Rhinolophus ferrumequinum: one gene and its partners. The protein of the gene in region 1 interacts with the protein of each later gene in a pairwise test. Links are inferred from orthologs where the notes say so. Each region holds a gene or a part of one and is shown in the gene's direction. Other genes may lie near its edges.

The links.
Region 2: the proteins of YBX1 (region 1) and HABP4 interact in a two-hybrid assay, tested with the Homo sapiens proteins (2 studies listed by BioGRID and IntAct). The link is inferred for Rhinolophus ferrumequinum from reciprocal best matches to the Homo sapiens genes YBX1 and HABP4.
Region 3: the proteins of YBX1 (region 1) and C1QBP interact in binary tests that used the Homo sapiens proteins (3 or more experiments, as listed by UniProt). The link is inferred for Rhinolophus ferrumequinum from reciprocal best matches to the Homo sapiens genes YBX1 and C1QBP.

What each region holds. Positions count from the first base shown.
Region 1 is NC_046292.1:30,052,125-30,062,614, forward strand, and holds the start of YBX1 (Y-box-binding protein 1), read left to right. Parts: upstream 1-5,917; 5' UTR 5,918-6,060; coding exon 6,061-6,226; intron 6,227-6,908; coding exon 6,909-6,972; intron 6,973-10,490. UniProt on the Homo sapiens protein: DNA- and RNA-binding protein involved in various processes, such as translational repression, RNA stabilization, mRNA splicing, DNA repair and transcription regulation.
Region 2 is NC_046295.1:8,721,758-8,733,050, forward strand, and holds the start of HABP4 (intracellular hyaluronan-binding protein 4), read left to right. Parts: upstream 1-6,896; 5' UTR 6,897-7,005; coding exon 7,006-7,357; intron 7,358-11,293. UniProt on the Homo sapiens protein: Ribosome-binding protein that promotes ribosome hibernation, a process during which ribosomes are stabilized in an inactive state and preserved from proteasomal degradation.
Region 3 is NC_046304.1:12,969,232-12,979,462, reverse strand, and holds the start of C1QBP (complement component 1 Q subcomponent-binding protein, mitochondrial), read left to right. Parts: upstream 1-4,904; 5' UTR 4,905-4,990; coding exon 4,991-5,216; intron 5,217-5,820; coding exon 5,821-5,971; intron 5,972-6,544; exon of another isoform or gene 6,545-7,146; coding exon of another isoform or gene 7,147-7,359; intron 7,360-8,082; coding exon 8,083-8,176; intron 8,177-9,437; coding exon 9,438-9,533; intron 9,534-9,768; coding exon 9,769-9,891; intron 9,892-10,035; coding exon 10,036-10,185; 3' UTR 10,186-10,231. Other genes in the region: ATP-dependent RNA helicase DHX33, read left to right, coding at 915-1,223; RPAIN (RPA-interacting protein), read right to left, coding at 7,147-7,359.

The sequences.
Region 1 (10,490 bases):
TCAAGGAGTGCTACATCGCCTTAGAAAGATTTCTCAGGTAAATTAAGTGACAAAGTCAAGATGGGCATTATATCAGCATGATCCTATTTATTTTGAATAACTTTCAGAAATTTCTGTAGTGATATATAGCCGAGTATTAATAATGGTTACCTCCACAGGGTAGATAGCAAAGAGACTTTCTTTTCAGTTTACACTGTCCTGTATATGCTTGAATTTTCTACTCCGAGCATGTATCTTGTAACAAATACATACAATATATATGTAGTTTTAACTAATCCTGGTCTCTCCCAGACCCTCCCAGGAGCGTGTGGCTAACATCAGTTTGAATCATTCCCTGGCCCTCCATCTCCTCCTTCCTGGCCTAGGCAGAGTCAGTGGTCCCTTCCTGGGTCCTCCTAGGACTTGGTTCATCCTTCTGTTAACAACATTGAACACCGTGGATCACAAATGTATTGGTCTGGTGTTCTCTAGACAGAGAACTCCTTGAGGCAGGGTCCGTGCTGACTGACATATGCCTGATCTGTGATAGAGCTTAGGTCTTGGAACACCGTGCAACTTATAAAGTGCTGTCATACGTTTTTGTACATTCTGCTTTAGGGCCCAGAGTCAAACTTCTGTTTGAGCCTGCAGTGTGACAGCAGGACTCCCTGTCCTCTGGAGGAGGAGGGGTGTGGCCACGTCTGGGGCGAGGGGGACAGTAGTATCTGAGTGTACTCACCCTGTTCTTTTAGTGCAGCTAACTCCAAGGCCATAAACAGAGGGTGTGGAATCTCCTTTCTCTGTGACCCTGGGATCAAAACCTGCACAGAAAGATTGCTGTTTGTTCTAGAGCGCCATAGAGTGCCACAAGGTCTGGCAAAAAAGACATAGGCTTTGGAGTCAGTATACCAGGAACCCCCATCACTGTCAAGCCATTAAACCCCTTGGGACCCTAGTTTTCTCCTTTGCTTAATAGTATAATGTATACTGCACAGAATTGTAAAGGGTAAATGAGATAATATGCTTGACCAGAAATGTTAGTTTCTTCCTTCTTGGTTCTTGTGTAATATACTTTCAACTTTGCTCTGGAGAACCAAAGGTCTGGCCTATGGCAAGAATCAGACCGGTTTTTATTCTTTGGTTAAAGAGGATCAGGAATATAGAGGAGGTGGGAAGGTTGTCTCCATGGAACATCCCCTTCCAGTTCCCTCTGAGCTGCTTGTCTCTTCATCCCTCACAGACCTCCACATCTCTGCCATTGTGGGCATGCCCTTGCTCAGGGTGATGCTCTTGAGTAAGATAACCTGGATTGGGCCCTGTGTTTGCTTCCCTGCCAGCTGTTGCCCTGTTTGATCAAGAGACCTTGGAAGTATCACAGATTCAGAACCCAAGATTTCCATGTTTTTCAACTGTAAATAAAGTGTTTTGGTTTTGGGGTTTTGTATGTGTATTGTTTTTAAGTGGTTGTAATGGTAGCTCCATCTCCTCACGCCTTAGCTCCTGCTGCAAGGCCAGCGTGGACCACAGCCAAGCCCTTGCTATGTATAGTGGAATGCCTCAGATTTGCGAGCCGTTATAGCAGTCCCCTCGTAGGTTCAAGTTGATGGAGCAAAGAAGGCAAAGCCCCAGGGCCTCAGAATGATGTATTCCAAGGATGTTCCCAGTAGGTTCAGTTTAGTTAGTTCTGGAGCCTAACTTGGGATGTTTTTGGATGGGAGACCATTTGGTAGAATGTGTCTCGATCACGACAAAGTGGGAATAGTGTAGTCCAAAATCTTGGTTTGAATCTGGGGTCATTTTTTTTAAAACAGTTGCGGTCTTGAGAAGTTCACTGTCCCATTCAGAGCCCCAGTATCCTCATCTATAAAACGTGGACAATAATACCTGTATACTACGTAGTACTGTTGAAAGGGTCAAATAAGAGGATGGACATGAGGGTAACTTGTAAACAGTAATATGCCTTGGAAAATGTTTTGAAAGGAATAACCCAACGTAAAAAGTTCCCTTGAGTATAATATTCAAGAGGTATAGAGAGTTCCCTAGTGTTCCTTTCATGAGACAATTTCTATGTCCTCCCATTTCTCCTTTCTCCTGGCTGATGGACACTTGACTCATAACTACTAGCAGCAGGCTACTGCAGGCAGCAGAGATAGCAGAGAGCTGAATTCTATGAAAATAGAACCTGGCTTAAAAGTGTCGTTTCAGTGTATTGGGAGACAAGGAAGACGGTGAGCTGTACAAGAGCCTTATAGTATAGATATTTGCAACTCTGTAGCTAAGTAAATATGGTTCAGAGGGGACGCACTGAGAACTGATCAAGGAACCAAACAGGATGGAATTAAAGATAGGAAGGAGGATGAGCAGCTGGGATTTGAGTTGACCTTCTTGTGATGGGCCGTTCGGTTGAATTCAGTTACACTTGGCACCCTTCATTCTATGCCAGTCTCTGTCCTGGACACTGGAACTGCAAAGATAAGTCAGATGTGGCCCATGCTTGTGACAGGAGATAGGCACAGTTTCAATACAACGTGATGAGTATTAGAATGTGAGCCCTAATGAGGACAGGGATTTTGGGCAGGTTTGTTTTTCATTTTTCGTTTGTGGTTTTTTTTTTGTTTTTTTTTTTTTTTTTACTGTGTTCTCAGCACCTAGAAGAGGTAAGCACCTAGTACCTAGTAACTGCTTAATAACATTTGTTGTGTGAATGGTAATGGTATGTACAAGATGCTATGGGAGCAGAGTGGCGAGACCAGGACTAAGAGAAGAGGTAACATTTGAGGTAAATATTGCCAGATTGGCTGGAATTAGCCAGGAGATAAGGGAGGGGGGACTTTCCAGGAAGAGGGAACTGTGTTCCTGGGCCAGTCTGTCAGAGATGGGGACAAAGGTAAAAGTGATTTTGCAAAGGAGATTCTTGAAATGAACCCCCGTGCCTTTCACATCACTTTTAAAGATAGGCACTGGAGTTGTCTGAACTGTGGTCACCATGCTGGGCAGTGTGCACTCAGGGTAGCAGGGGGACTAGCAGAACTGTGGAGCAGAGAGCGCCCACCTTGGAACAGGAGATGCATTTTGACATAAACCGTTTATCCTGCAGTGCTTCAGTACCATCTCTGTAGTGGTAGAGAGGTGGCTACAAGGAAAGTAGTAGGAAAGAGCTCATCTTTATGTCCACTTAGCAGGAGACAGCTTAGTGAAGTAATTGGATGAGTAACTAATGATACTTTTAAGTAACATTATAAAGACAAATGTTACAGAATTTATATTTCTGCGTGAGAAGCCATCTCTTCAAAGTAGTTATTAATACATAGGGAAGGTTGCTCACTTATTCTCAGGTGCTGCGGTCATTGTCTTTCTAACTCCACTTTGGGAAAAAGCTTGCAAACCTATAGGGGCACACTGTCCTCAGTGTTGGCAGAACTGCCTTTTGCAGTTTCTTCTTAGCAGTCAAAAGTCATCTGGAGCTGGCACAGATGAATAGCAGCTCTAGATTCCACCTAATTCTCTCCATACACATTGTTGCTGCAAGCCTTTTTCACCTGGATTACTGGCACAGTTGCGCAGATGACCTCTCTGCTGCCTGTACCTTCTCCAATCCCTTTTCTACACCATCTCATTCATTTAACAAATTTATTAAGATACTGTGTGTCAGGTATTATGCTAGGTGCTCCAGGAATTCACAGTCTGGCTGGGAAGATTTAATTAATGCAATTCAGTGTTAGGATAGGAGAGTCTTGTCACCTAATAACATCTGAGGCAAGACCTAAAGGATAGAGAGTTAAGCCTTAAGGCAAAGGAGAAAGGAAAGAGGAAGTGTTACCAGTAGAGGGAATAGTATGTGATAGCCCAACAGCTAAAATCACCTGGAAGGTTGGGCAAAGAAGTGAAAGACAAGTGGGGAGTAAGTTTAGAGAAGTCATACGGAGTCCTGTAAACCACATTAAGGCGTTTGGACAATCCTAAGGGTAGTGGTAGTCACTGAAAGATTTTAGGTAAGACAGTGTCATGATCAGATGTTTTCAAAAGAACACTCTGGATGTTGTGGTGGAGAATATTAGAATAAGAAAGCGGTAGAGAAACCAACTAGGAGTGCTCTAAGCCAGGCCTCAGCAAACTACAGTTGGCAGGCCCTCTCACTGTTTTTCAATGGCATATAGCTAAGAATAAGAATGGTTTTTAAATGTTTAAACAGTTGAAACAGTCTAAAGAATATTTTATGACATGTAAAAATTATATGAATTTCAAATTTTAGTGTCCATAAAGTTTGGAACAGGGGAACCTGTTTACTGATTGTGGCTGCTTACAGGCTCTGAGGTTGATTAGTTGAGACAGAATCGTCTGGCCTGCAAAGCTTAAAGTACATATTATTTGGTCCTTACAGAAAGTTTGCCTGCTTCTGCTCTAAGTAATAGTTGATAATGGCCTACAGTAGTGTAGGGCAGTAGGAATGACGGGATTAGAGAGTTTTAAGGACTGATTCACTGAATGCCTTTTGGAAGTGGAATGACAGGCCTAGATGATGGGCGGGGGGGGGGGGGGGGGGGGGGGGGGGGGGGGGGGGGGGCGGGGGGTTAAGGACTGTTGCACTAGCCTGTTTTCCCTACTACTTCCATTTTTGCCCCCCTACAACCCATTCTCCACTTAGCAGCCATTAAAAAAATGATGACACTCCCTACTTACAACTCTAAATTACCCTTATCACTATTGCCCTTAGGATAATTTCAATAAAATCCTAATTTGACCCAGCCTACCTCTATAACACAATGTCTTCATTCTAGTCTTATTGGACTACTTTACTTGCATTTCCCCAGACCCAATCTCTTCTTGCCTCTCGGCCTTGCATAAACTTCCACGTGCCTGGAGTCAGCACTCCGCCTTCTTCTACCTTTACTCCCAAATTGCTTTGTGCTTTGGCAACGCTGTGGGTTGCGAGTTTAAATTTCTGTTTTCATCCTAGACTGATTTAAGGCAGAATCTGATGTACTAGTCCATCCCCAGCAGATAGTAGATGCTTACTAAACAACGAATGAAGGACTTCAGCTACAGCATGTGGCAGCCTCAAGTATAGATCGGTTGTGAAACATGGATAGTAATCCTTATTTCATGTGACTGTTGTAAGAATAAAATGCAAGAAAAATGCCTAGCTTGCTCAATCAACGTGATTTGAGATTAAATCTGATTTGTGGCCAATAGAAAAAGACCTGAATATTTAACAAGACAATCCTTACATGCTTGGTAATATGGATGGGAAGACAGGTCCCCATGGAGTACGCCCCCGCCCTCCACCCTAAAAATGCCGAGCAGGGCAGCCTGAGAAGCCTGCGTGGTCCCTCGAGGGTGACTGCTCCGCCGAAAACGGACACTCTTTGAATGCATGCGTTTAAGTCTGGTCCAGAAACACTCGGCTGTGCCACGAGTAGCACGGCCATTGTAGAATGCAGGCTCTATCCACAGTAACTGAGGTCACAAGGACCATATTTGGAGCAGGAAGGGAGGGAGGCCGCCTTTCCACATGGAGCTAAGGTGTCGACGGGGCCCCTTTCAAGCCCCCGGTTCCGGCCGGGTAATCCTGGCTCAAGCGTTTGGCCGTGCCTTTCCTACCACCAGGATACAATCCTGGATGTATGGCCCGCCTGCCCAGGCTGCAGCCTAGTGAAAGTCACGTTCTCTCTGCCCGTCCTCGGTACTCTATGGTTCTCGTGGTGACTCTACTCTAATTCTAGTTCCGGTCTCTATGGCGGCGGCGGCAGAGGCAGGAACGGTTGTAGGTCGGCCAAATTAGCCGCCTAAGAGCCAATGAAAGTGCAGGAGTGATAAAGTATTAGCCAATAGAAGTCAGGAATTGGGGTCAGGTGGCAAGATTGACAGCACTCCTGGCCAGTGAACGATGCTTAGGGCGGGTCGATCTCAAGGCTTATCCCGCCCGTCCCGCCATTCTCGCTAGTTCGATCGGTAGCGGGAGCGGAGAGCGGACCCCAGAGAGCCCTGAGCAGCCCCACCGCCGCCGCCGGCCTAGTTACCATCACACCCCGGGAGGAGCCGCAGCTGCCGCAGCCGGCCCCAGTCACCATCACCGCAACCATGAGCAGCGAGGCCGAGACCCAGCAGCCGCCCGCCGCCCCCCCCGCCGCCCCCGCCCTCAGCGCTGCCGACACCAAGCCCGGCACCACGGGCAGCGGCGCAGGGAGCGGCGGCCCGGGCGGCCTTACATCGGCGGCGCCCGCCGGCGGGGACAAGAAGGTCATCGGTAAGGGCCGGAAAGGGGCGGGGGTTGGGCCGTAGGAAAGCCTGGCGGTGGAACCGTTACCCGAAGCGGGGCGAGCCGGCGGGCGCGCGGCCGGCGGGGACCGACTCGGCAGCGCGGCTGCCCCTCCCCCAGGCCCGCGCCTTCGCGGACGCCGGCTCGCGTGCCCGGCAGGCGCGCACGCGCCAGCTCCCGCGCCCCTGTAGACCCCGCGCAGCCGCGCGCCCCTCCCCCCGTGCAGCCGCGCGTAGTTGACCGCGTGTGCAGCAGGGTCTTTCCCCTCCCCGCTGGCCGCGTGCGCCGGGGCCCGCACGCCGTTGTTTCGTCCCCCCCACCCTTTCCCTTCCGCGTGTACCCTGAGGGCGCGGCGAGTCGCCTACGCAGGCCGGAGTGGGCTGGGCTGCTTCCCCTTCCCTCACGTGCTCTCCGCCCGGCAGCCGCGCCCGCCGCCGGCTGTCTACGCGCGCACCCAGCTTGGGCCTGCGACCCTGGCCCTGGTGCCTTGAGCTCACCCACGTGGACCGCGGAGGCGCGGTGGGGGCCAGAGCGTGGCCGGGCGAGCTGGCTCTGAAGAGAAAGGCTGTCAGGTGGCCGCGGGGAAACGCTCGAGGGACCGGATGCTGAAGCGTGGCGGTTTTAAAAAAGGATGTCTGGTAATCGTGAGTTTTTTTTTTTCTCCTTCCAGCAACGAAGGTTTTGGGAACAGTAAAATGGTTCAATGTAAGAAACGGATATGGTTTCATCAACAGGTGAGCTGACCGTCCTACCTCTTGCACGTTCTGCTCGCAGCTGCAGGCTGTGCGGATTTGGGATTGTTGAAGCATGCGTAGGTTGCTCCCTCTGGTGTGGTAGTGGGTTTTTGTTTTCCTGGATGACTGAAGAAATTCGTGCATCTAGAGATTATCTTTGTTTTGCATCTAAATATTAATGTGAAGCTAACTTAAAAGGCTTGTGATGGTACAAAGCAATGTAAAAGGCGGGCGGATTAAGCGAGCCGTCTCCTAACGGGGCAGACTGAGGAAACTAAGATCTAGTGTGATGCCGTTAGGCTCGGTGCCCACCACGTTTTTATCCTTGTCATTTTACACGTTGTTGAAATTGGTATTTAAAATGTGACCCACTGATGGCATATAGATCCGTGATGACATTGTTCTTCGTATTGGAAGGCAAAGTGACAGACTGCGTTTTTAGGCGTAACGCGTGGAGTTGTTTGTAATAGTGGTGGTAAGGTGCAGTGTATGCACAGGACTCGCCGTGGTCTCCCTGTGAGGCGGGCATCATTTTCAAGATGGCTGCCAAGGCTAGTGCGGTGGCATGGGTGTAGAGGCACTGTGCGTGCTGATGGTGATACGGGCCTTACAGGTGTGACACGGGCATCTCAGCGCTCTCTTACATGCTTGCTTTAGAAGGTATTAAACAACTAGAGGTTTAAAAGAACACTTACCAAGTAAGAAGTAATACCGAATGTGAAATGGACACTACTGCAGGGAAACTAAATGGGCAAGCTCAAGCTTAAAGAGAGACAGACTTGTTTGAAAACCCGTTTATTGTATGGGGCGGGGGCAAAAGAGATTGGAAGCATCTGATGGTCTGTTTTTACAGTATTTGCAGTTGGGGGGGGACATTTTGTTTCTTGCAAAATCTTCAGGAATTTTCCATCTGTTCTTACACTGTCTGCCTTCCTGACAGGCCAAAGCTACATTTTCCATCAGTTTTGTGATGATGGGTTACTACTAGTGAGGAAGGGAATGCTTTGGTGCTTGTATTTGAGCGCTTTTTAGTTGATTGATCTCTGAATTTGTTAGCATTTAAGTTAGTATTTCCATCTTACTGGCTTAACCCTTAAAATAGTGGGTTTTGAATTGAAGTGTGCTTAACTTTGGAAGGGTGTTAAAATGCAAATTCTTCAGCTCTTCCTTCCCGGTTTGGATTCATTGGGGTGATCTGGGGTACATTTTTAACAAGAATTTCAGGTGGTCGTGGCTTGTGGGTCATACCTTGAAAAACATTGCTTTTAACCTTGACACAATGTAATCATAGGATATCTTGGGTAGGAAGGAATGTAATTTGCAGTCTTTTCAGTGGTTAGAAGGTAGTCTGTGTGTGCTTTAAAAATTGTAGCATGTGCCTTCTCTCTTGCTGTATTTTGTTAAATGGACATAGATTGTGATATTTTTGAAGCGGACAATTGATAACCCAATATGAAAGAGTAGTTCTTTACATACTCTAAATTTTTATGAGATGTCATTACTTGAATATCTCTGTTCTGATTTGCAATCAACTCAACTGGTCATCTTCCAGGACAAGTTAAATGTAAATTGGCTTTTTATGATCCTTTGTTTGGACTGTCCAGGCCTCAACTATTTTGTCAAATTAACTGGTTCAAACGTGCTTTATGTTTCTAAAGAGGTCATTCCAATGATTCTGAGACTTTGAGAAAGACACTAAAATCTGACTGCAGTTACGTCCAGGAGAGGTTTGCCTTAAATGTCTTAAAGAACTATACTTCTGGGAGTTAGCAGTTCAGGGTTCACTATATAGCCAAGGCTGGAGACACCTGGGGGCGGGGTTGACACACACGTGCTGTTTATCTATAAAGGAGTAGATGCAGTGTTTGGGATTATTGCCATGACTTTAATTTTATCTCTGGGGTTCTATGATTATATGTTCTAGGTTCTTAAGCTTTTTATAATTAAAATAAGGCTTTTCTGTAAATTTTTTGCCTTTAAAGAAATGTATTTTCGTTGTAAACATTTGTCAGTCTAAATTATTGTGTATTATAATCATTGGTACAACTTTGTTAGAATTACTTTTTAAAGGGTTTTTTCCTTATGATCTTAATTATATAAAAGATGGTAAATAAGAATATAGAGCTTTTTTTTTTTTTTTTTAATTGGGGAAGGGGGAACAGGACTTTATTGGGGAACAGTGTGTGCTTCCAGGCCTGTTTTTCCACGTCAAGTTGTTGTCCTTTCAGTCTTAGTTGTGGAGGACGCAGCTCAGCTCCAGGTCTAGTTGCCGTTGCTAGTTGCAGGGGGCACAGCCCACCATCCCTTGCGGGAGTTGAACCAGCAACCTTGTGGTTGAGAGGATGCACTCCAACTAAATGAGCCATCCAGGAGCTCAGCAGCAGCTCAGCTCATGGTGCATGGTGCCGTGTTCAATCTTAGTTGCAGGGGGCGGAGCCCACCATCCCTTGAGGGAGTTGAGGAATCCAACTGGCAACCTTGTGGTTGAGAGCCCACTGGCCCATGTGGGAATCGAACCGGCAGCCTTTGGAGTTAGGAGCATGGAGCTCTAACCGCCTGAGCCACCCGGCCAGCCCTAGAACTTTTTTTTAAACAGTAAAATTTTTTACTTTATTTTGTTAGGCTGTGAAATCTAGGAATTCTGAGAAATTCATTGTTATTCTTTCTTTGTGTGTTGAATCTGTGAAAAAATTCTATTATGTGATTAGAGGGGTTTATTAGCCCCTAAAAGTTATTTTGCATTTTATTATGAAAAATTTCATTCAAAACTGTTGAAAGTACTATTGAAGGATGATACATGAAAGATGCCACAGAGGTCAGTGGCTTCAGGATTTGAATCTCTGCTTTTTTAAACGTGATGTTGTCTTTTGCTTCCAGCTGTTGTGGATTAATCCATGCTCACCAAACTAAAAAGGTTGGCATAAATCAGTAACAATTTATTTGTCAATGAGGCATGCATCTTTTGATCAGAATAGGAATACTTTTCTGTTCTCCAGAGTACTTAAAATGCTAAATTAATTAATCATTCTAAGTTTTGTGGGTAGGTAAGGAATTTGGAGGCAAGAGAATTGAATAAGCATAGGTCACAAACTGGGTGACTTAGTAGCAAAATCTTCCCCTAGGTGTTATGTTTGGACAGTAGTAGTGTCTTAAAAAGAATTGGAATTACTGACATTTAAAAACTTAGGAGGTAACACCAAAAATACCCAGATTAAAGACCTGAATTTTAGCTTTAAGGCATATAGTCCCACATAAATAAAAATTCAACTGGCCATAAATATTATCACTACCTATAAATGGAGCATATAGTCTCTTTATCAGTCTGTCAGGTTTAGTTTTCTCCTATTGATTTGCCCTCCTGCCTGGCTTCTGTATGTGCATTTGAGTTTTTTACCTATTATCTAGGAAGATGTATAAGAAACCTAGCCAGGGGAACAGCTTAGCTACCCCTTCACAGAAATACTTGGTCACGGCTGTGAGGTTTAGTCTTTGGCGGTGATGGTGCTTGCTGGTTGTAT
Region 2 (11,293 bases), on another chromosome or scaffold:
GTGGACGTGCAACATGGCCTCAGCTTACAGACGACGGTAGGAGAGTTCCGTCTCTGGATCCGGGTGGTGAAAGCGGTGACATGCGGGCATGCTCACCACCCTCCTCAAGTGTTGCCACAGCCCCGGTGCGTGGTTACAGTGCGATAGTACCGCCTGCCAGGAGGGCAGGAGGAGACTGGTCATACAATATTGGAATTGGAGAAGGCACATATTGTGAGGCCAACGCACAGTCCCTTTAACTCCCCAGTACGGCCTGTCAAGAATCCAGATGGGACCTGGAGAACGACTGTGGACTACAGGGAGTTAAATAAGGTGATGGCACCTTTGCACGCGACAGTACCTTCAATACACAATTTGACGGTCTGACTGTCCGCCTGGGAACATATCACTATATAGTGGAATTGGCCAATGCTTTTTTCTATGCTTGTCGCGTAGATTGTGAGGCAAGATCCTAGAGGGGTGAAGTGTGAGGACAGAGTCCCAGAGAGCAGTTTCCAGGCTCTCACCTTGCATGGGAAGGAGCTGGCTCGGGTAGTGAATGACCATCAACTTGATTGGTTGGCCATCAGCTGTAACCAGTTAGCCAATTGGCTACTGATATAAATGCGGGGCTGCGTTGATTGGTTGGTTGGCAAGCAGAAAAGTGAGTGGCGGACTGCGGGTCGTGTGGCTACTACTGCGTGTGTCTCGCCAGGTCGCCAGAAAGAACATAGCGGTATGACTCCCCTATCTATGGCTCCGTGGGTGTTCCTTTTTGGCCTAGCCATATCCTGCGTTCTTATGTGGGGAGCGGGAGCAGAGACCCCGCAGGCCGCCCCATACGACAAATGGCGCAGCAAGCAGGGTCTTCAGCACGACAACACAATATAGCTTTTAGCCCTCAAAACAGTTGGGGGGTGGGGGTGTTTAAGTATATCATTTCCTCACACTAGCACCATAGTGAGCACTCCCGCATATAATTTCTATTAGTGATATAATTAAGGACACCCACTCAGCTCCCTTGTAGCATTTATCTGCAAAATTACATTGTCCCCCTGCTTACTTAGCTCTTTAAGGAGAGAGATGATGTCCTGCTCACATCCAAGCTGTTAGCTCAATGCTTAGCAGGAGCGTAAAGGTTAGGAGTGCAGACTCAAGCCAGACTGCCTGCATTCATGATCCCAGCTCTACCACTTACTGAGGCACTCATCTCACTGTAAAATGGAGACAGCAGGGGTGGCCGGATGGCTCGGTTGGTCATAGTGCGAGCTCTGAACAAGGTTGTCGGTTCAATTCCCATGGGCCATGGGCCAGTGAGCTGGGCCCTCCACAACTAGATTGAAGGACAACGACTTGGAGCTGATGGGCCATGGGGAAACACACTGTTCCCCAATATTCCCCAATAAAATTAAAAAAAAAGAAATATTAAAAAATAATAATAAATAAATAAAGGAGACAGCAGATACATCTATCTCCTCAGTTGTTGTAGGGGTTAAATGAACAGATAATGTTTAGAAAGAGAACAGATAATGCTTAGAAAAATGGTTAGCACCAAGCAAACACTGTATAAAATTCAGCTATGATTGTTAGTAAATGTGTAGAATAATAATAAACTTTCAGAAAAAAAGAAATGATATCACATTGATTCATATAACATGTATTAATTAATTTTCATACATTATCTGTTGCATTTTTACTTTATTTTTTAATACATGCACAATTATTTATCAGGAGCCTATGTATACAAACAAGAAACTCATTCATTAACACAACAAATATTTCCTGAATAAAAGGCACTGGAGATGAGACCAGGAAAAGGGAAGGACGGGATACCAAATGAATTAGATATAATTTCTGGCCTTCAGGAAGAGAAATAAGGAGGAAGAATTATAATGCAGAGCACAACAAACAGTCCACTGTTGCAAGAGGTGTACCAATAACACACTCATGCTAATCAGGGAATTCTGTGTGTTACCTCCCCAGCCCTCTATTCCTACCTGCTGATATTGGAAAACTTATTTTCTGGGGAACCACCCCCCTTCCACTCAGTCCCAGGGTTCAGGGGGTTGACTCAATCAGACTACAGCTTGGCCTGGTGATCTGGGCTTGGTTGATCAGAGAATTAAATACTGTTCACTATAGCAACTAGTTCAAGGTGTACACGTGACCCCAGACACACCTGTGATTCAATTCTGGGACACCTGTGCCAGTGTTGACAGAAAAGTCTTCTTTCTTTTCCTGCTGGGCTTACAACTGTAAGCCTTTAAACACGGAGCTACTGGGACCATCTGTGGTGGGAAACCGGTAAAAGGGAAGCAAATACAGAAGAAAATAAAGCTGGCGGGGGGAGGGGCAGAGAGAGATCAGGTCCGGATATGGTTTATCCCCAATCCAGCAACGCCTGATTCATTTTTGGACTTTTTTCTTGAGCCAACAACATTCTTTGTTTACTTTTTCCAGGTGAGTTTTCTGGTGCTCACAACTAGAAGAATCCAGAATAAATGTGGAACTAAGAAGTTCTAAATTCCAAATTATTTTATTCAGCCTTGATGAAAGTTATAACCAAGACCAAAATGTTGATACTAGGAACTTTGAGAAAATAAAAAAAACTGTTCTGTTGGCACAGTACTCTGAGGATACAAAGCACTGTGCTAACCAGTAACATCTCACCACCAGAAAAAGTGGGAAAGAACCTCAATGACAAATGGTAGTAGGCTGGGTGCAGATTTAAATATTCTGGTTTTGGTCATCATAAATGGATTTGGGCTTGCTAGAAGTTTTCCTATAGTATCTTGGTTGTTAAAGGCTTATGGTTCTACAACCCCTAACTTTGAGATTATGAACTTGCTTTATTCATTTGCTGTGGGAAACTGAATTTGAATTCACGTATCAACCTTATAATAACTAAACCGAAAACTATATTTTCATTGATCTTATCACAATTGACTCAGCTGACATAAAGGACAGATGAGATCCTTTTAGATGTAGGAAAAACATTTTTGTTTTTGCATATATTAAGCAAGTAGAAACAATTGTGAGAAGTGCAATTTTTTTTTACTTTTTCAATTTCCTTCTTTGGTTTTATCTTCCCATCAAACATATGAGGAGCCCAGGACTGATTATAATCATCCTAATTTTATGGAGGAGAAAACATAAGCAAAGAGATAACAGTAATTCAGTTGCAAAAAACAGTATATGGAATGCAACCTCTGGTGATTCACAAAAACTCATACCTTTTACAGCCTGACTGGCCCCTTGGTCCTCACCCACGTGTTGCTCCCTGCATGTAATTAAAAGTAATAAAGCTACATTTAAGTCCATCTAGAAGATTTCAGTGTATTTTATTTTATTATTCCTAATGGAATTCATATATTAAGCAATTCAAGGAAACTTACATTTTGTATGTAGTTAAACTTCACTGCATTTCCACTGGTGCCAATAAATAACGACTGTGGAAGGGCTGGTGGTATTATTTAGCATCCACATCTCACTGCTTTTTTGGTATGCCTGATTATATAAGCTATATGGATGTGCATGTGTGGTTTTCATTTTTTCCCATTTGGTATTATAATTACTCGAGTTAATTTTAGATCTTGGATTATTAGGAAGATCAGTCTATTAACTGATCACATTAAACACAATGCTGCAAGTAACTTATGCTAACATGGTGAAGTTATATTTTAAGATTGCATTTATGGATGCAATCTCCCAGCAGAAAAATGGTCAGGAAAAAAATGTGAGGCTGCTTAATAAGTTACCATCAGTAAGTTCAACATTAATCAATAGCCCCATAAGACCTAATACCTGTTAGAGGCTACTCATCTCTATTCCAGTGGTTCTAAAGGTGTTCTTAATCCTGAAGCAACCAGGATTGGTTGATTTACAATTGTTTTAGGCAGTTATGTTTGGAAATTAGGGTGGAGTACTCATAAGGCATGCCTTAAGAACTTGCTATAGTTGGCTGTCAGAAAGGATAGGAGGAAAATGGGGGGAGTGAGATGTCTCCAGATATCCAGTAGGGAGATGACACGCCCTTCTTAAGTGGTAATGGTTCCTTGGTGTTGTGGCAGTTTAAGATGCCAGAGACAACCTTGGCTTGAAGCAGTGCTTCTCAAATTATGGTCTTTGGTGCACCTGGTGATTCTGGTGCATGAAGAGTCTGAAAACTTCATTTACATCATAATGATGAGGCCTTGTTGTAACTCTACCTAGTCTTAGGTCTGATTCAAAATGATGAGGATGATAGTAATGTTGATAATGACTTTTACTGAGGATTTACTCTGTGCCATGGTGGTGAACACTACATATGCATTATCTGACCCAGTCGTCACAATAACCCTCTGAAGCAGGTGCCATTAGTTTTTTCATTTTACAGAAGAGAAAACTGGGGCGCAGAAATAAGGAACATGTCCACGGGCATGAAGTTAATTAGTGGCTGAGCCAGGATTCAAATCATGGTCTAACTCTAAAATATATGGTTTATTTTTAAAACTGCGGTAAAATACACAAAATTTACTATTTTAATTATTATTTTAAAGTGTACAATTCAGTAGTATTTAGTACATTCGCATTGTGTGCAACCATCACCACTATATAGTTCCAGAAAATTTTCATCACCCCAAAAGGCAACCTCATGCCCATTAAGCAGTCACTCACTCCCCATTCCCTTTTCCCCTGAACCCCTGTAACCACTAATCTGCTTTCTGTCTCTATGGATTTGCCTCTTCTGGACAGTTCATGTAAATGGCATCATACAATATTTGTGTCTGTCTTCTTTCACTTAGCATAATGTTTTCAAGGTTCATCCATATTGTGGCAGGTATCAGTAAACACTTCATTCTTTGTTTAGCGCCAAATATGAATCCATTGTACCACATTTTGTTTATGTATTCATCAGTTGATGTCCATTTGGGGTTTTTCCCACCTTGTGGCTATTGTGAGCAGTGCTGTTATAAACATTCAGATACAAGTTCTTGTTCAAACATCTGCTCTCAATTCTTTTGAGTAAAAAAATAGGCTTTTAATCACAAACCTCTGCTGACTCCCAGGAGATGATCATATATCTTAAAATCTTCAGATAGTCAGCACATATTTGAGAACCTGCTGTGCAGCCACCTAGAATGCTAAGCAATGGGAATATAAATTGCAATGAATAAGATAGCCACCATCCCTGTCCTCCTCAGGAATGACAGACAGACATTGAATAAGTGAGTAAAACACGGCCCGGCAGCAGTTAGGATTAAGGGTTCCTTTTCCATTTGCTATTAAAGTAAAAGCTGGCAATGACGCACCTCAGTAAGATGCTTCTAACAGGATGCTTCTGAATGCAAGAAGCAAGCACTAAGCGTAGCTTAAACAATAATGGTGTTTATCATCTTACATAATAAGAGTCTGAGGTAGGGAGGTTCCCGAGTGGGGTAAGTCAGCAGCTCAACATCAAGAACCTAGGTTTTCTCCATCCCTCTGCTCTGTCATCCTTATAGTCACATTAAGGGACAGAAATTCGAAGCATCAGGTCCTCCTCACATAAAAAGGACCAAAGAATAGATGTGGGAAGATGGCAGATTCCTTCCCATCCCTTTTTAGGTACAAGAAAAAAGTTCCCGGAAACGCTCTAGAATACATCCCCTGAGATCTGTTCTGCCAGATTTGCACCACAAGCCTATTCCTACACCAATCATTGGCAAGAAAATGGAATTACAATGCACGATTTAAGATTAATCACCGTTGAAGCTGGAAGGGGGCCCAGATTCCCCTGAGGCATGAAGACACCTGATACCCTAACAAAATACAGGTTCTGGGGAAACAAGTTCTGAGCTCAAGACCTCAATTGAATATCTCAAAAGGAAAAAAGAAAAACAAAACCTCAAACCTCAACATCTCCAAGACTGAACTCATGATTCTCATCAAAGCGGTCTCTTCTAGTGCTCTAATTCTCTGTGAATAGCACCACCATTCATTCCATTCGCACCAGCCAGAAAAATAAGAGTTCTCATAACTCTCCTCATTTTCCTCCTCTTCATCCATATCTAGTGCATCACCAAGTCCTGTTGATAAAACCTGCAAAATAGCTCTTAAATGTACTATCTCTTCACCTCCACTGCCACCATTCTAGTCCAAGTTACTGTCATCAGCTCTTCCCTGGAGCTCTGCAACCACCTTCTACTGGTCTCCCTGCATCCCTTTTGACCTCCCTTCAAGTCCTTCACATTGCAGCCACAGTAGCCTTTTCAAATACATGCTCACGTTTAATGTTTTCCTCCCACTGATCCTAGAAGAAAGATCAAATAAGGCCCTCACCCAACTCTTCGCAATCCAGTTCGGTGGTTTTCTTGGAGCCTGTGAGTGGGTTGTGCTACACCCGATCTTAAGACTTCTGCACTTGCCATTGCTCCTGCTCCTTATCTTCCTTCAGATCTCAGCTTAACTGGGAGAAGCTTCCTAATTAGGTCAGGTTCCTTCGCTATCTCATAAAGAACTCTGTGCCCTTCCTTCAGGACACTTTTCTGTAAGATCCATGAAAACACGAAGCAAGTATCTTCTACAATATGCCTGGCACATAGTAAGTGCTCAATATATAGTTGTTCAATGGTTAAATGAATGTATAAACTTAAAAGAGGAGTGACCATCACGAATGTGGATCCAGATTTAGAGAAAACACAGATAATGACCGTGACCTACCCACGCTGGCCAACCAGCCTGGACCAGAGGACTCGTTGCTCCTCCCAGTAGCCCCGCCCCTTGGGCTCCGCCCCTCCTTGTGAGTTGGGGGAGGGGCATAGAGGTCGGGTGACGTGACAGCAGCCTGCAACTGATTGGGCTTCCAGGCGTGCCGGCTAGGAAAAGAGGCGTGTCCGCATGCTCTGATTGGCTGTCGGGCGGCGGCGCGGGGGCTGGCGCCAGGAGGGTGGGGAGCCGGCAGGGCAGGGAGGGCTGCAACCGCGGGTGGGATGGGGCCTCGCTGCCGGCTTCGCTGAGACTCGCTTGCGTGGGCTCCCGCGGTGGGCCCGCAGTGGCCGCCGCGGCATGAAGGGCGCTCTGGGGAGCCCCGTAGCCGCGGCCGCCGTAGGCGCTGCGATGCAGGAGAGTTTCGGCTGCGTTGTGGCCAACCGCTTCCACCAGCTGCTGGACGACGAGTCGGACCCGTTCGACATCCTGCGCGAGGCCGAGCGCCGGCGCCAGCAGCAACTGCAGCGCAAGAGGCGCGATGAAGCGGCGGTTGGGGTCGGCAGTCGCGGCGGCAGAAGTCCGGCCGGGGCCTCGGGCCACAGACCCGGCGCGGGCAGTGGCCGGAGGGAGTCTCAGAAGGAACGCAAGGGACTCCCGGCCCCCGGCGCGCAGCAGCCGGACAGCCCTGCGGGCGTCCCACAGCCACCCGGTACGCGCGCCCCACCTGGCACCTGGGCGCCCCTGGGTGGGCGTGGTGGACGGGAGGGGAAGGAAAATGGGTTCACGGAGGCCACCCCTCCTCGGCCGCCCCACGACCTCCGCTCTGAGAAAGGGGTCACTGGAACCTGTTATAGAAAGGGCAGGGGGCTCTGGGAAAAGTTCGGTTGAGTTGGGGGTCCTTGTGACGGAATAAGATAGGAAAAGAGGACGAGGATGGGGCGGGGGTTGTCACGTCCCTTCTGGCCTTTCCCGGTCCATTCTGGGGGGGTGGGTGTGCAGGCTTGGAGTAGGGGTATCGAAATTGAGCCCTTACAAGTTGGGCAGAGTTGCAGGATATTGCTGGGTGGTGTGTGAGGCAAAAACTGGGTTCGCTACTTCGGGATTCTCCAATCTAGAGCTAGCAGGGACCGTCTCCCTTCTCCAGCCCAACCTCTGCAAGACTCAAGTCGGGAGCAAAAGGAGGCGTGATGGGAGAAGAGCCCCTCTTAGGGAGAGTGGGGGAGGTAGGGCGCACCCGGCCCGTGGGAGTGGTGGCAGAGCCCCGGATGTGAAGAATCGCCGGGGTGAGAGGTTCGGGCCTCTGTGATGGAGGGAAGGCCTGGGTGACCACGGAGTCAGGTTCTGATGTAGGCCGCGTGCGGAATGCGGCAGGGTGAACGCGGGGTCCCCGGCGCCTTCCAAGCCCTATGCCTTCACCCGATCCCCATATTGTAGCTTCCAGTAGAATGCCGGCGTCATTTTTCAATAACGCATCTAGTGTTGATGGGATGTGTAACTTGTCATTAACTCAGGCTGCTTTCTTTAACCTTTTCAACAAGGATAGTCAAAGTTCTCCCACTCCTTGTTTAGTCAGAACGCCTAGCGTAAAACTTGGTGTACTATTTTATCTGCATATAGGGATGGAGGGTGCTTAAGAGTTCGTTTCTCACAAGAACTGAATCAGTGGTAGAGTCAGGAAGACTCCACCTGTGTTTCCTGTTTTTCTAAAGGCTGTAGTCCTGAGGTTTGCCTGAGAAGAGTGTTAAGATTAAGCTGTGCAGTTCCACCACTGCAGCCATTGTTTGGCAGTGTATTCGACTGGACTTTATGGGCTAGTTCTTTGCTTGATAAAAATTGTGCATCCCACAAATTGGCAGTTACAAAAGTAGTCAGGGCGATGTAAAGTACAGCATAGGGAATATAGTCAATAATATTGTAATCACTATGTATGGTGCCAGGTGGGTACTAGACTTATGGGGGCAATTAGTTATATAAATGTCTAACCCCTATGCTGTACACCTGAAACTAATATAATATTGAATGTCAACTGTAATTGGAAAAAAATTATTAAAAAGAATTGTGCCTCCCAACCCTGAGAGAACAAATGATTTAAGTATTGGGGCTTTGACTCCTGCAACTAGGTAATGTTTACCTTTATCTGTGAAAAGTGTAGTCCAGCAATATCACTTGAGAATCAGAAAATCAAGTCACTATAATACAGATGTTGAAAATTATTTAAAATGCTATCTCAAGACCTCTTGGTAGACCAGTAAGTTTATGAGCCTATGTAAACATGAGTGTGACTTGTGATATGATATACATTTTGTATTTTCTATTTTTTCCTCTTAAATCTATTTAGATACATACAGTAGTAATAAAAGAAATGAGGAAGGCTAAACTTTTCCTCTCCCTTTATTTTTTTAACAAATGTAAATATGTATTTTATCCTTTAGAATACTGTGAAACTGCATTTAGTGCTGTTAATATCACTTTTTAAAATTAAAAATGTTATGCATTTTTGTTACCAAGATTTGAAACAACTTAGAAATGATACAAAGTGAAAATCCCCTATTTTCCTACTGCTAACATCTTGCATTTACATACATAAATGCACAGAGCTGTGGTTTTTTTTTAAATTTAAACAATATAAGTTAGTTTGCAATCTGCTTCTTAGCGTTTTAATCTAGTAAATTTGTAACTTTTTCTGTCAATTGTTCACGGTACAGGTGACCTGGCTTTAGAGATCTATATTGAAGATCTTTAGTTATCTTGTAGTTAGAAGGGAAATTTTGTCATTCTAGTTCTTTTTCAAGTATGTGTTATTTCAGGAGCAAACAGCTCAGTAATTTCCATTTATGTGGTTACTATAGTAAACTGTAATGAGTGTTTGGGAGCTACTCTCTCGAGGTTTTTGTAGCCCTGATTGATATGGACTATACTTTTCTGACACTCAAAATTTTTAATCTATTTAGAATATTGTGAGTGAATGCTTGGTATAAAGACTCAAAGTCAAAACATATTCAACATATAATGGAAACGTTTATTAATCTCAAAAGGATGTGGACATTACAAGATTTTCCCATGGAAAAGGAGAGTTTTAATGTTCTTCACTATTTAACAACATACAGTTGACCGTTGAATAACATGGGTTTGAACTTCGCAGGTCCACTTTTATGTGGAGTTTTCAATTCACCCAAGTTGTTTGAGTGTCAACTGAATGTAGATTCTAGCTCAATAAACTCATTCTTGATGTCTTAAGAGGCTGTTTCATCTTTACTTTTCCTAGGAAACCTCATTGTATATTTTACTGTTTTCTGTCCCTTTATAGGGGTATATTGAACAGACTGAGTGTGCCAGCCTTTTATTGGAAAGAGCTAGAGAAATTCAGTGTTTGCATTATCCACTTGGAGCTGCTGATCCAGCACAGAAAAACAAACTCGTTTCAGTTGCAATCCTGATTTCTTAATACTAAATTGGGGGGAAACAATTGTACTCCTATTATCTTTGTTTTTTTGGATTTTGGAGGGAGAATAAAATGTTTGCAGGGTATTAATAATTATTTTAATAAGCAACCAGTCATATTGAATGTTTTTCAATTTATACACAGAACTTTGGAAGAAGTTTTAATATAAATTATACAGTAGACGGCATTTTAAATTTTGAATGGTGAATTCCAAATTTAATTGATACAATTTAAAAATAACTTTGAGAAAGGAGAAGGCAGGATAAGTTCCTAAGTAATTCTGTAGTTGAGTGGCGATATTAAGATTTTTTTTAAATTGTACGTTATAAATGTATTAAAATAACTTTTTACATTGAGGGAAAAGTATTGAAAAATATTGTTACTGTTGACATATTTGTTCATGACTATTAGTCATAGTGTATTATAGTTTTCAATTTGTTAGATAATTAACTTTCATAATAACATTTTCTACTTTACATTTCAAATACCTCTTCCAATCCGATCTTCGTTAGAATGTACGTGCCTTCAGACCTAGCGTTTCATACTACTGGGCAACTGGGCATGACTGTCAGTCTCTGTTTTATTTCGCAGTGAAAGCATAATGCTGTATTTATAATAACATTTTTCCTGTATTCTGAGCATGTCACAAGCTCAGATTGTAGCTTCGGTACAGGATGTAAATCGGATTTAAACATTTCTAGGTTATGGGCCATTAACTTAAGGTTGAACTTAGATCTGTTGTGCAACTGTTTACAATTGAAAAAAGTACTTTATGTTAACTAACAAGTAATAAATAGCACAGTTTTGTTAGTGGTATCACAGACATGACTTTTGCTTTAAAATGAGATCAGTAAGTTATCGAAACTATGTTAATATTTACATATGCCCAATTTATAAAGTTTAGATAGAAAATATTAAGTGGGAAAATAGAAAAATATGTATAAACATATTTCTTAAGTCATGTTTATTTGTCTAAGTAGGAACAGAAACCAGCAGTTAAAAAGGTACCCATTAATTCAAATATATTTAATATTTTTTATAGCCACGCAACCAACATGAAGGGTAATTTATACCAAGAAAAATTGAAGCTACTGTAATAAAAATTGTACATAGTGTTTGAGATGGAGACCTTTTAAATATGTGCAAAGAAAAGATAAACATTTTTGGAAGATGATTTAAGAAGTGACAGTTTTTCACAACATA
Region 3 (10,231 bases), on another chromosome or scaffold:
GAACCAGAAAAGGCTGTCAGGAGCCAGGGCAGCTTTCTCTATGTCTGGAGCCATGGCCTCTAGTTGGCTGCTCTCTGCATACCTCCTTCCCCCTTCTCACCTTCTACCTCAGACTCCTTGCCCCAGCCTTTCACTCAGGAGACTAACGGGCTTGGTCAGATTTCCCATGTTCAGATTCCAAATGCCTGGAAGAGAGAAGCTCGCCCAGCGTGGGTCAGGCAAGTGCCTGCCACTGGTCGGTTCAGCTGTGACCTGGGGTGTAAGGTGACACGACCTGCTCAGGACACTGACTGACGGCTGACACCTCCACTGTGGGGCTGAGGGGCGTCTGTCTGAGGAGTGGCCGGCGAAGGCCCTCTGCCTGGGGAGAAGGCAGTTGATTGCGGAGGACCTCCGCGTGTTGAGGCGGCCTCATTCACGGCTTCGCAGTGGGCAGCTTGCCTTGCGTTGCCAGAGCGGGAGGGACGCGGAAGGTGTTTGAGTGGATGAGGAGTGGTTCGAGTTGCGCTAGAGGAAGATGAATGTGGCGGCAGTGTATGAAATGGGTCGGAGTGAGGAGATGAGGAAGGAAGTGGTCAGAGGGAAGGGCCTTTCCTTCCCGGGACGTCCTGGACGTTTCCGTGGGGGGCTGAGGACTGGCTCATAACCTGTCCGTGGTCTGGCACCTCGAGACCCTCTTGGCCCGCACTCTCCCAGGCTGCGATTTTCCTATTTTCAGTCCACTCTCCTTCAACCCGGCCCTTCCTCGCCCTGCTGATGGCGGAGGCAGGTGAGGAACCCCGCCGAATGGCAGCATCCACCTTGTCAGGCTTGCAGTGGGGGCTGCCTTTTAGCTACAGGTGTTCCGAATACCGTGCCGTGCTGAGCGGTATCTGTTTGGGGTCTCTTCCACTTCTCGCTTCCTCCTGAAACAGATGTCGATGCCCACCGTGTCGTGCCGAGGAGACATGGAGAGCGTCCGCCGCTGCCTGGCTCACAGCCTCTTCATGAGCAGCGCGGAGCTGCAGCTGGACGGCACCTACGCCACCACCGACACCCACCAGCCGGTGGCCATCCACCCCTCGTCCGTCCTCTTCCACTGTAAGCCCGCCTGCGTGGTGTACACGGAGCTGCTGCGCACCAACAAGTGCTACATGCGGGACCTCTGCGTGGTGGACGCCCAGTGGCTGTGTGACGCCGCCCCCGAGTACTTCCGCCGGAAGCTGAGAACCGCCAGAAACTGAGCCGCCGAGCCGCTGGCGGCGCTGCTGGGGCCTGGAGCTGGGACCTGGAGCTGGGACCGCAGCCGTCCTGTCCTCGCCCCTGGCTTCCAGCGTGGCGCCTGGGGAAGCGGCTGGTTCTAATGCAGCGGGCCGTGCCCGGCTCCAGGAGCTTGCAAGCATCTTTGTTTAACCTCTTAGGACGGAACCGTGTAGACATCTACCTACCATTTATACCTTTGAGATGTCGGAATTATGCTTTCGGTTCTTGCTGGGCGATGTAGTTAACTTCTGAGCCTCAGTTTCCTCATCTGCCACGTGGGGGTAATAATACTACTTGTAAGGTTGGTGTCATGAGGTTTAGAGAAAATGAAAGTATCCCTTTCATTTCACATCAGCGCTGTGCCTGGCGCGCAGTGAACGTGCATGAGGTATTATTCCTTTTTACATAATGTGAATGGAGTACAACAGAATCCCGAGTTCTCGTCACTAAGGGGGACTTTCTGGGAGGGGACCATAGGCGGTCACAGAGCTCTGATGTTGTCCTTCGATCTATTTTAATGTCTAGCTGTATGAAGTTTTTAAATAGAAAACATCGGAGATTGGCATCTGCAGAAATTTCAGGAGGGAGGGGCTGTTGCCTCTTACCTGTGGGCTGGCCGCCGCTGTTGAGCCTCCTGCCCAGTGTGTGGACTCCTGCCTCCAAGCAGAGAACAACAGTACAGGAGAGCTCGCAGGTTCCTGAGCGGTGCCCCCTTGCCCGTGGTGCCTCTGTGGCACATGTCCCCATCCGTGCTTTCAGGACCCGTGGAAGTTTCCCAGGTGAGGGTTGCTTTGTATTTTTTAAATCGTGATGGCTTCCAGCATAGCCAGTTGCCATTTTCTCTGTCACTGGGTCCATGTAAATATGTGAGCATAAGGAATGGCTCCGTGCTATACTTCAACTATTTCTTTCCTGTCAGAGCCCCTGCTCAGCTATTGGGGTGGGTGGAGGGGAGAGACGAAGGGTCAGTGAGAACCCAGACAGCATTAGCGCAGCTCGTCCCATCCACCTCATCTGGTGTTTATATTCTTAGATCTTATTTATTTTCTATGATCTCTTTTTCTTCTTTGGGACTTGGGGACAACTTGCCTTTGCTACTTCCTAACCGTGCCAGTCACTCCTCTCTAACCCTGTTTCTACTTTTCTCAGAGGGAATTAGGTCTTCACAGTCTTTCTGTTCTCATTTTGAGAAAGGAAAAGACACTAAAGGTTCTTCTTGGCTGTTTAATTATCGAAAGCAAATGATTTTTCCCCTGATAATGTTTTGCCCTAGAAGAATCCAAGACTTAGCCCTTTTATTGTGCTTAATTGGTCTAAACACATGTGTGCAGTATTTTGGTCATTACTTAAAGTGAACCATGCAGTTTATAGGCAGGGGGCTAAACTGAGAGACTCTTCAGCGACAATGGATGGTCTCTTCACTCTGGATCCATTGAACTCTTCTCCAAGACCATAGCCTGCTGGAGCTCATTTTGGGTCTCATCTGTTCATGCTTGTGTATGTTAAGCCTGGCTCAGGCTTTCGAGCAGTAGCCGTGGCCCTGAGAAGTCAAGCTTTCATCTAGTGTTCAGGGCTGTATGGGCACTTGTGATTTAATTATATTAGGAACAGTTACGTTTAGGCTAAAGAGGATTCCACAGATCCTATATACCCTGTCTTATTGAATGCTTAGACTTAGCTGGCTCTTCCTCAGATTGACTTGTTTTTACTGTTGCAAAAGGTTTTTAAAGTGTGTTTTTCTCATTTATTTAATAGAGGCCTAGGATGTTTAGCCTGACTGGGTAAAAGAAAATATTTTTAATAAAACATTCATCATGCTGGTAAAAAATAGGGAGTGGGCTGATTTATCATGTTCCTCAGCCAATTCTCTATGGAGAGGTGTTCTCTGGGGCAAATAAAACTTAGAATAATTTGTGTCCAACTTAAGTACCTAAAGAGTTTCTGGAAATATAAATTCTTTTCTGAGCAGGAATAGGGATAAATACCTTCTAAATAAATGTAAATAGCTTCTAAGTAGCTTTAATGTTTCTGTACAGAAATATGTTTATCATTGTAACATTCTGGTAGAGTTTTAATACAGTAGTTTTTTATTGGGCTTTTTAAAAAGTTAATTTTTAACATAGCTGCTCAGGGATTAAATCAGATTAGAAAACCCATTCTGACTCCACAAATTACAACAAAGAAATAAATGGTTATTTATATTGAGCTGCAGGGGACAGCACATTTTAAACTTAAACTTTCTTAAGAAAGTTAAATGTTTCACAGTAATGTTGCAATATCATCTTGAGCTACTTTTTCCATTCGTCAAATTTACGATGGTGTGACACCTCTTCTAAACTGTGAAACCCATATCTGCGCGAATCACTAGCTCTCACAAGCATCTTCAAGCAACTGGCATGCCTCAGCTGTCTTCTAGTAACGATGGAGCCTGGAACATCCAGGGCACTGAGAACAGACTTCATTATGGGAAAGAACTGCCAACAGCCGGTCCTTGTTAAGAACCCTTACTTAACGTTGCATTTCTGCTGGTTGTAAAACGATGCCAGAATGGAGACAAGTTTTTGCTCTGTGGGTAAAACTTTTTATGTACCATGATACATACATTTAATCCAGCTATCAAGAACTGCTTGGAACCGTGGCCAGGCATCTTGAGCATGTAAAGGAACACTGCATCTGTGGGGGAGCAAGGATTTGATTATATTTGATCAAAATATTATAACCTGCAGAAAAAGAAACCAGAAAAATCAAATTGATTCTGGTTTGTGTTGTATTTTGAGAATCTGGTCTTGTTCAAATAGACACAGCTCTATAAAAACATCAGTTCTTGTATATAATGCTCAAATTTGCACATGATTTACATCCATTAAAAGTGAATCTTGTACATGGTGTGTATGGCTTCTATCTTGAGTCTTCTTTCACTTTACAGAATGCTGTTTAGAATATATTGTTCATCTTAACTTTGCCACTAATTGGGGAAGACTCACTTTTTTGGTACCTTATATATCCTGTGTGTCCTGTTAAAGTAGGAACATCGGTTCTTAACCTAAATCTGACGTAAGCCATGGCTTCTTGCACCCCCCAAAATAATGTCCCATCAGAATCTGAGAGCAAGGTTAAGGTTGGAGGGTATGGAGAGGGAAGGTGGCAGGAATTAACCAGGGATCCTGCCCTTCGGGTACTCCTAGTCCGGTGGGGGTGAGGGGAGGCTGCCAGGTAAACCAGCAGTGCCAGGAGGTTTCTCCTGAGAAAAGACTGAAGGGTAGCGGCGGGGCATGCGCCGGCGTGAGTTCCTATCACGGAAGAGAGGAGGAGGTTACAGGAAGGCATCTTAAAGGAGATGACCTTGAAGGCTAGTCTTTGTAAGCTGTTGGAGGTGGCAAGAGTGCGTTCTGCGAAGTCACAGCCTGGCGTGCTTTCAGACCAGTAGATGGAAATTTGGAAAGTGTAAGCAGCTGCTGGAGACAAGTGATGCTGGCGAATCAAACAGAAAGCTGCACACCAGACTCAGGCCTGCTGATCAGATAAAAAGTTAGCTACCGGATTTGAGGCCTCCCCCGGACGCTGCTCAGGAACGCGCCGCCCCCCGCCCCCAAGCAGAGGGGGCAGTCCTACCCACCGCGTTTGACCCGCAAAGCGACGCTGCGGAAGCGTTTCCTGGTCGAGGGCGGGACTTCCGGCGGTGAGCTCGGTCCGGTTACGCCTTGGCCCGAGTCGTCCTCAGCCGCACGTGTCCGCTGCAGCTTTCGCGATGCTTCCTCTGCTGCGCTGCGTGCCCCGAGCCTTGGGCTCCGCCGTCGCCGGCCTCCGCGCCGCCGCGCCCTTCCCGCCGCTCAGGCCGCTGCTGCAGCCCGCGCCCCGGCCGTGCGCCCGGCCCTTTGGGTTCCTCAGCGTGCGCTCGGGATCTGCGCGACTGCCCAGCCTCCTGCGGCCTCGCAGACCCTGCTCCTGCGGCTGCGGCGCGCTGCACACGGAAGGTGAGTTCGCGCACGTGGGCCGGGGCCGTGAGGGGTAGATTTCCTGAATGGGGTGGGGGTCCGGGAAGTGTAGACCACGAGTGGGCCGCCCAGAGCGGCCCCGCGAGGTCCGAAACGTTTTCCCAGTGTTGGGCAACCAGAGGATGAAACCCACGTGTGATCACATTTCCCCTTTTTCCTGTCCGCTAAGTGTTTCATTTTAGGGTGAGATGTACAATTAAATCCTGGAAACCGACTTTAAACTTAGTCTCAAAAATGGAATTTAAGGAAGGCCCAAGGTTGTGGTTGAAAGTAACGTGGTTATGACTTGGCGAGTGGGAGAAGGTAATTGGGAACTCGTGCTTTGTGTGAAACGTGGTAATGATAATGAGTTCGTTGTTGCAAATCACTTTTCCAGAATATAGCTCGGCTTCCCACTGACAGTATTACAGCATTTTTACAGAGAAGGACACTGAGGCTTAGTGGATGTGAGTTGGACTAAGTTCCCAGAGAATGATTATTAACAGTCCAAGTCCAGATTTCTGGCTAGAGTAACCCGGGTCATTTGTACGTTTTAAACTGATGGGCTTTTCTTTTTCTGTATTTTAATGGATTTTCGTTGTAGGAGACAAAGCTTTTGTTGAATTCCTGAGTGATGAAATTAAGGAGGAAAAGAAGATACAGAAGCATAAGTCTCTCCCCAAGATGTCTGGAGGTTGGGAGCTGGAAGTGAATGGGACAGAAGCCAAATTAGTGCGGAATGTTGCTGGAGAAAAGTAAGTATGGTGGGCTCCAGGGGCCTAAACCCATGTCCCTGCCCCAGGTCATCCCCAGAACAGCTTGAGTTAAGGCAGGTACTTTGATACATAGTTTCCAAGAGACAGAAGGATTCATTTGGATAATTTCCTAAGTTCCTGGTAGTTCATTCATTGCACACAAATTTCCTGTGGGCTGGTTACTAAGGAGACAGTAAGGAGGTAGCACAAAAGCATGTAGCGGTGCCCAGCAGAAACAGCTCATTCAGTAAACCCCTACTGGTGGCGGAGGCCATGCCCTGCCTCTAGGCATGCACATTCAGAAATTCCTATCGTAATGACAGCATCAGTTAGATCGCAGGTTTACAGTGCTTGATTCACTACACTACAGGCTCTGAGTAAAACAAGGCCCCTGCTTCCTGATGTTTACAGTAAATGAAAATGCAAGACATGCAACTCATATGGAACAGGATGAGATTCCAGTGTAGTAAATGGTTGTCATTAGAAGGGTGGGGAGCTTTTGACCTAGCTTAGCTCTTTTTATGATCCGTTTCGAGTGGATGTCTAGATATGTTTCTGAAGTAGGGTTCTGGCTTTTTTTTTTTTTTTTTGGCGTAGTGGCATATTGTGTTTTTCCCCACATATACAAGTAGGTCAATTCTGTAATTTTCACCTAAACCGTTTTCCTAGGGTGAGTCATGGCCAGTTTGGGGGCATTATAAATTATGTTCTAAGACGGGTGTCAAAACTGCGGCCCATCGGTCAACTGTGGTCCACAATCCATTGTTAATTGGCCCGCAGGACATTCCAAAAAGTATATTTAGTTTACTTAAATAAACCAAGTGAGGCAATACGTACTTCACCTCGAGTAAGTGGCCCGGCTGTTTGTTTGTGTATTTTACCGAATATGGCCCTTGGTGAAAAACATTAAAAAAAGTTTGGACACCCCTGTTCTAGGAGCTCAACTTGGTCATCACATTGCAGATCAGACAGATTTTGTGGCTGAACCTCAGACCGTCATTGTTCTTATGGGAAAGCGGCTTCCTAGCAAGGCAGCTGGTTGGCACAGCTCCCGAGGCCACACGTTTACAGTGTGCTGTTGTGTGCACATAATGCCTGCTGGAGTTGGGCAGCCCAGCAGTGTTTCAAATCTCACATCACTTCTAATTTTGACTCAAACTTTGGAACGTGATTTGTTAGGTGGATTCTTGTACCTTGAAATTGTTCATTAATTGGTGTTTCTGGCCTGCTTTGTGGTTATAAAACTTCCCACAAGTACTCTGAAGAAGGACTGTACTGCAGCTTATTGTTCTTTGTGAGGCTTCCCCTTCCTGGGGCCAGGGCTGCTCTTGGTCCTTAGCTGATGCAACCCTCCAGTGCTCCTTCCTTTCCTCCAAGGGGCAGATTTTCTGATGGAGAAAAAAAAAGCTTTTTAAAAGAGACATCTATTCCATCCCACCCGCTTCTCAGCTGCTCATTGCCGCTGGAAGATGCCCTGGAAGGACAACAGTGAGCAATGTCAGCTGGCTGTGGCCATGAGACCACCAGTGGATACAAGATGGCAGTGAGCCCTGGGATGCTGGCCTGATCACACATGCTCGTTTTAGCTGAGATAAACTGGGGCCTGTTAGTTTGACTTCCAGCAGATGGCACATAGTAGGCACACTTGAGACCTGCTGAATCCATCTTAGGTAAGATGTAGGCACCCAGGCTTTTCTGGAAGGTCTGTAAATAATTCACATGTAAAGACAGCTAGGTTAGAGACTTTGTTTCAATACATATTTTTAACTAGCAGGTTTCCATACTTATTTAACTACTCAGTTAAAACTACCCTGTCCAGACGGGGGAACTGGTTGAGGAGCTGGGTGAAAACGGTGAAGGGATTAAGAAGCAGTACAAATTGGCAGTTACAAAATAGTCATAGGGACGTAAGTACAGCATAGCATATATATAGCCAATATTGTAATAACGATGTATGGTGCCAGGTGGTTCCTAGACTTATAGGGGAACACTTCATAAATTATATACATGTCTAACCATGCTGTACACCTGAAACTAGTATTGAATGTCAACTGTAACTGAAAAAAAAGAGAACTATATTCTTTCTGATGTGTTTTCTTTTGCCTTTCTAGGATCACTGTCACTTTCAACATTAACAATAGTATCCCACCCACATATGATGGGGAGGAACAGCCATCCCAAGGGCAGAAGGTTGAAGAACAGGAGGTAAGCTTGTAACCCTATAACCAGCCTTTACCTCAGAATTCTGATAGGCTGTTCCCGGGGCTTAGAGGAGCAGTGTTTTTGTTTAATTTCTCTAATGCTAGAGAAATTAAGAGAGGAGAATGCAAAGGATAACCATCCTTGGGACTTTTACTTGCAGAGCAGCAGTTTCCTTTGGCCCCAGGGATAATGTATGGCCCCTTTTCTTTCCCAGGGACTGAGTAAATTACCATCTGCAAGCTTCGGATTTATAGTTTGGCCTGTGTTCTCCAAATGGAAAGGAATGGAAACGGTTTTAACCCTTCCACAATGGGAAGGTGTTTGATAATCAGAGATTATCATTTGGAGTGTTGCCAAGTGAGGGATGTTCTAACACATCACAGGCTGGTAATAAAAACACCAGCCACTTAACCAAAGTAGCAAAGCCAGGGGCATCAGATTTAATTTAACACCAGAGATTTTGGCAACGTCTTTGCTTATGTTGCTGGCCCTGTTGGTTGGACCTGGATGGTGACCAGACTTCAAACATTTTAGGAAGCGGTGTGTCTAGCCTAGAAACCAGCTGGTATGAGGGCCACAGGGTCTCCAGACTTTCTGACTAAGCAGGCATCTGTATTGTCTCATGAACTAGCACAGATCCCTGCTGTGTTGCTGTCTCAGCTACCCTAACTAGGATCTCTTTGACATTGGATGGCTCACCATCAAAGGGCGAGTGACTGTGATTATTCATACATAGGACTGCCAGTTAGCCAGGTGCACCGGCCTTTGGTCCTGGGCCATAGGAAGATCCTGAAATAGTCAGTTGGAAAGAGATCTTAGAGCTTTAGGCCAGCTTCGCAGTTTATGGAGAAAAAGGCCCAGGAAGAATAAGGAACGATCAAGACCTCAGTTAATTGGCACATAGCTGGGGCTGGAATTCAGATCTCTTAATTCTAAACCTAGTATATTATTTAGGGTGCTAATAGAGGTGACTGTTCTAAATATAGGGTACTCTGCCCTCTAAAACATAGTCTTTAGAAGATCAATAGGAAGAATTCATCCCAGTCTCCTGAATAAGCCAGTATGTGGCTTTAATACCCCATGTTAAATAAAGATTCTAGGCTCCTTATTTAGAAACACTGTAGAATGAGACTTTAACAATGGCTAAATAATATCCTGATAATGGTGGCTGCCAAACCCCCTGAATTGTCTGAGACCTTTGGTCCAGGCATCCAACCCACCCCTGCCAACAATGGCATGTGCTGACTTGTTCTTGTTTCCCCAGCCTGAATTGACATCCACTCCCAATTTCGTGGTTGAAGTAATAAAGAGTGGTGGCAAGAAGACCCTTGTGCTCGACTGTCACTACCCAGAAGATGAGGTATGTAGGATGGAGTCCTAGCACCTTGGCATCCCTGGGGACAAGGAGGGCCTCCAGAGATCTTACTGGTCCCTTTTCTAGTTTAGGCCAGCAAAGCAGGGGAGTAGAGGTATGGGGAGTCAGGGAGCAAGGTTAAAGTCTGGTGAGTTTTAACCTGTAAATAGTCCTTTTCTTTGCATGAGTCTGGCTTGTCCTGGAAAACCCTTCAGTTTCCCCAACTATTGTGTCTCATCAGGTTGGGCAAGAAGAAGAGGATGAGAGTGACATTTTCTCCATCAGGGAAGTGAGCTTTCAGTCCACTGGCGAGTCGGAATGGAAGGACACAAATTATACACTCAACACAGATTCCCTGGACTGGGTGAGTGCTTGATAAGATGGGGTGCTCTTGGGCCTTGCGGGGGGTACCCATAATCCAAGGAGAGACCAAGAAGCATTTTAATTAGTAAATGTTACAGATGAAGTCTTTTTTTTTTTTTTTAAGTAGTAAATGTTTTTCCTATAGGCCTTATACGACCACTTAATGGATTTTCTTGCGGACCGAGGGGTGGACAACACTTTTGCTGATGAGCTGGTGGAGCTCAGCACGGCCCTGGAGCACCAGGAGTACATTACTTTTCTTGAAGACCTCAGAGGCTTTGTCAAGAGCCAGTAGAACAGACAGGACACTGAACACCTTCACTTTATGGCAGGCTTTGGCC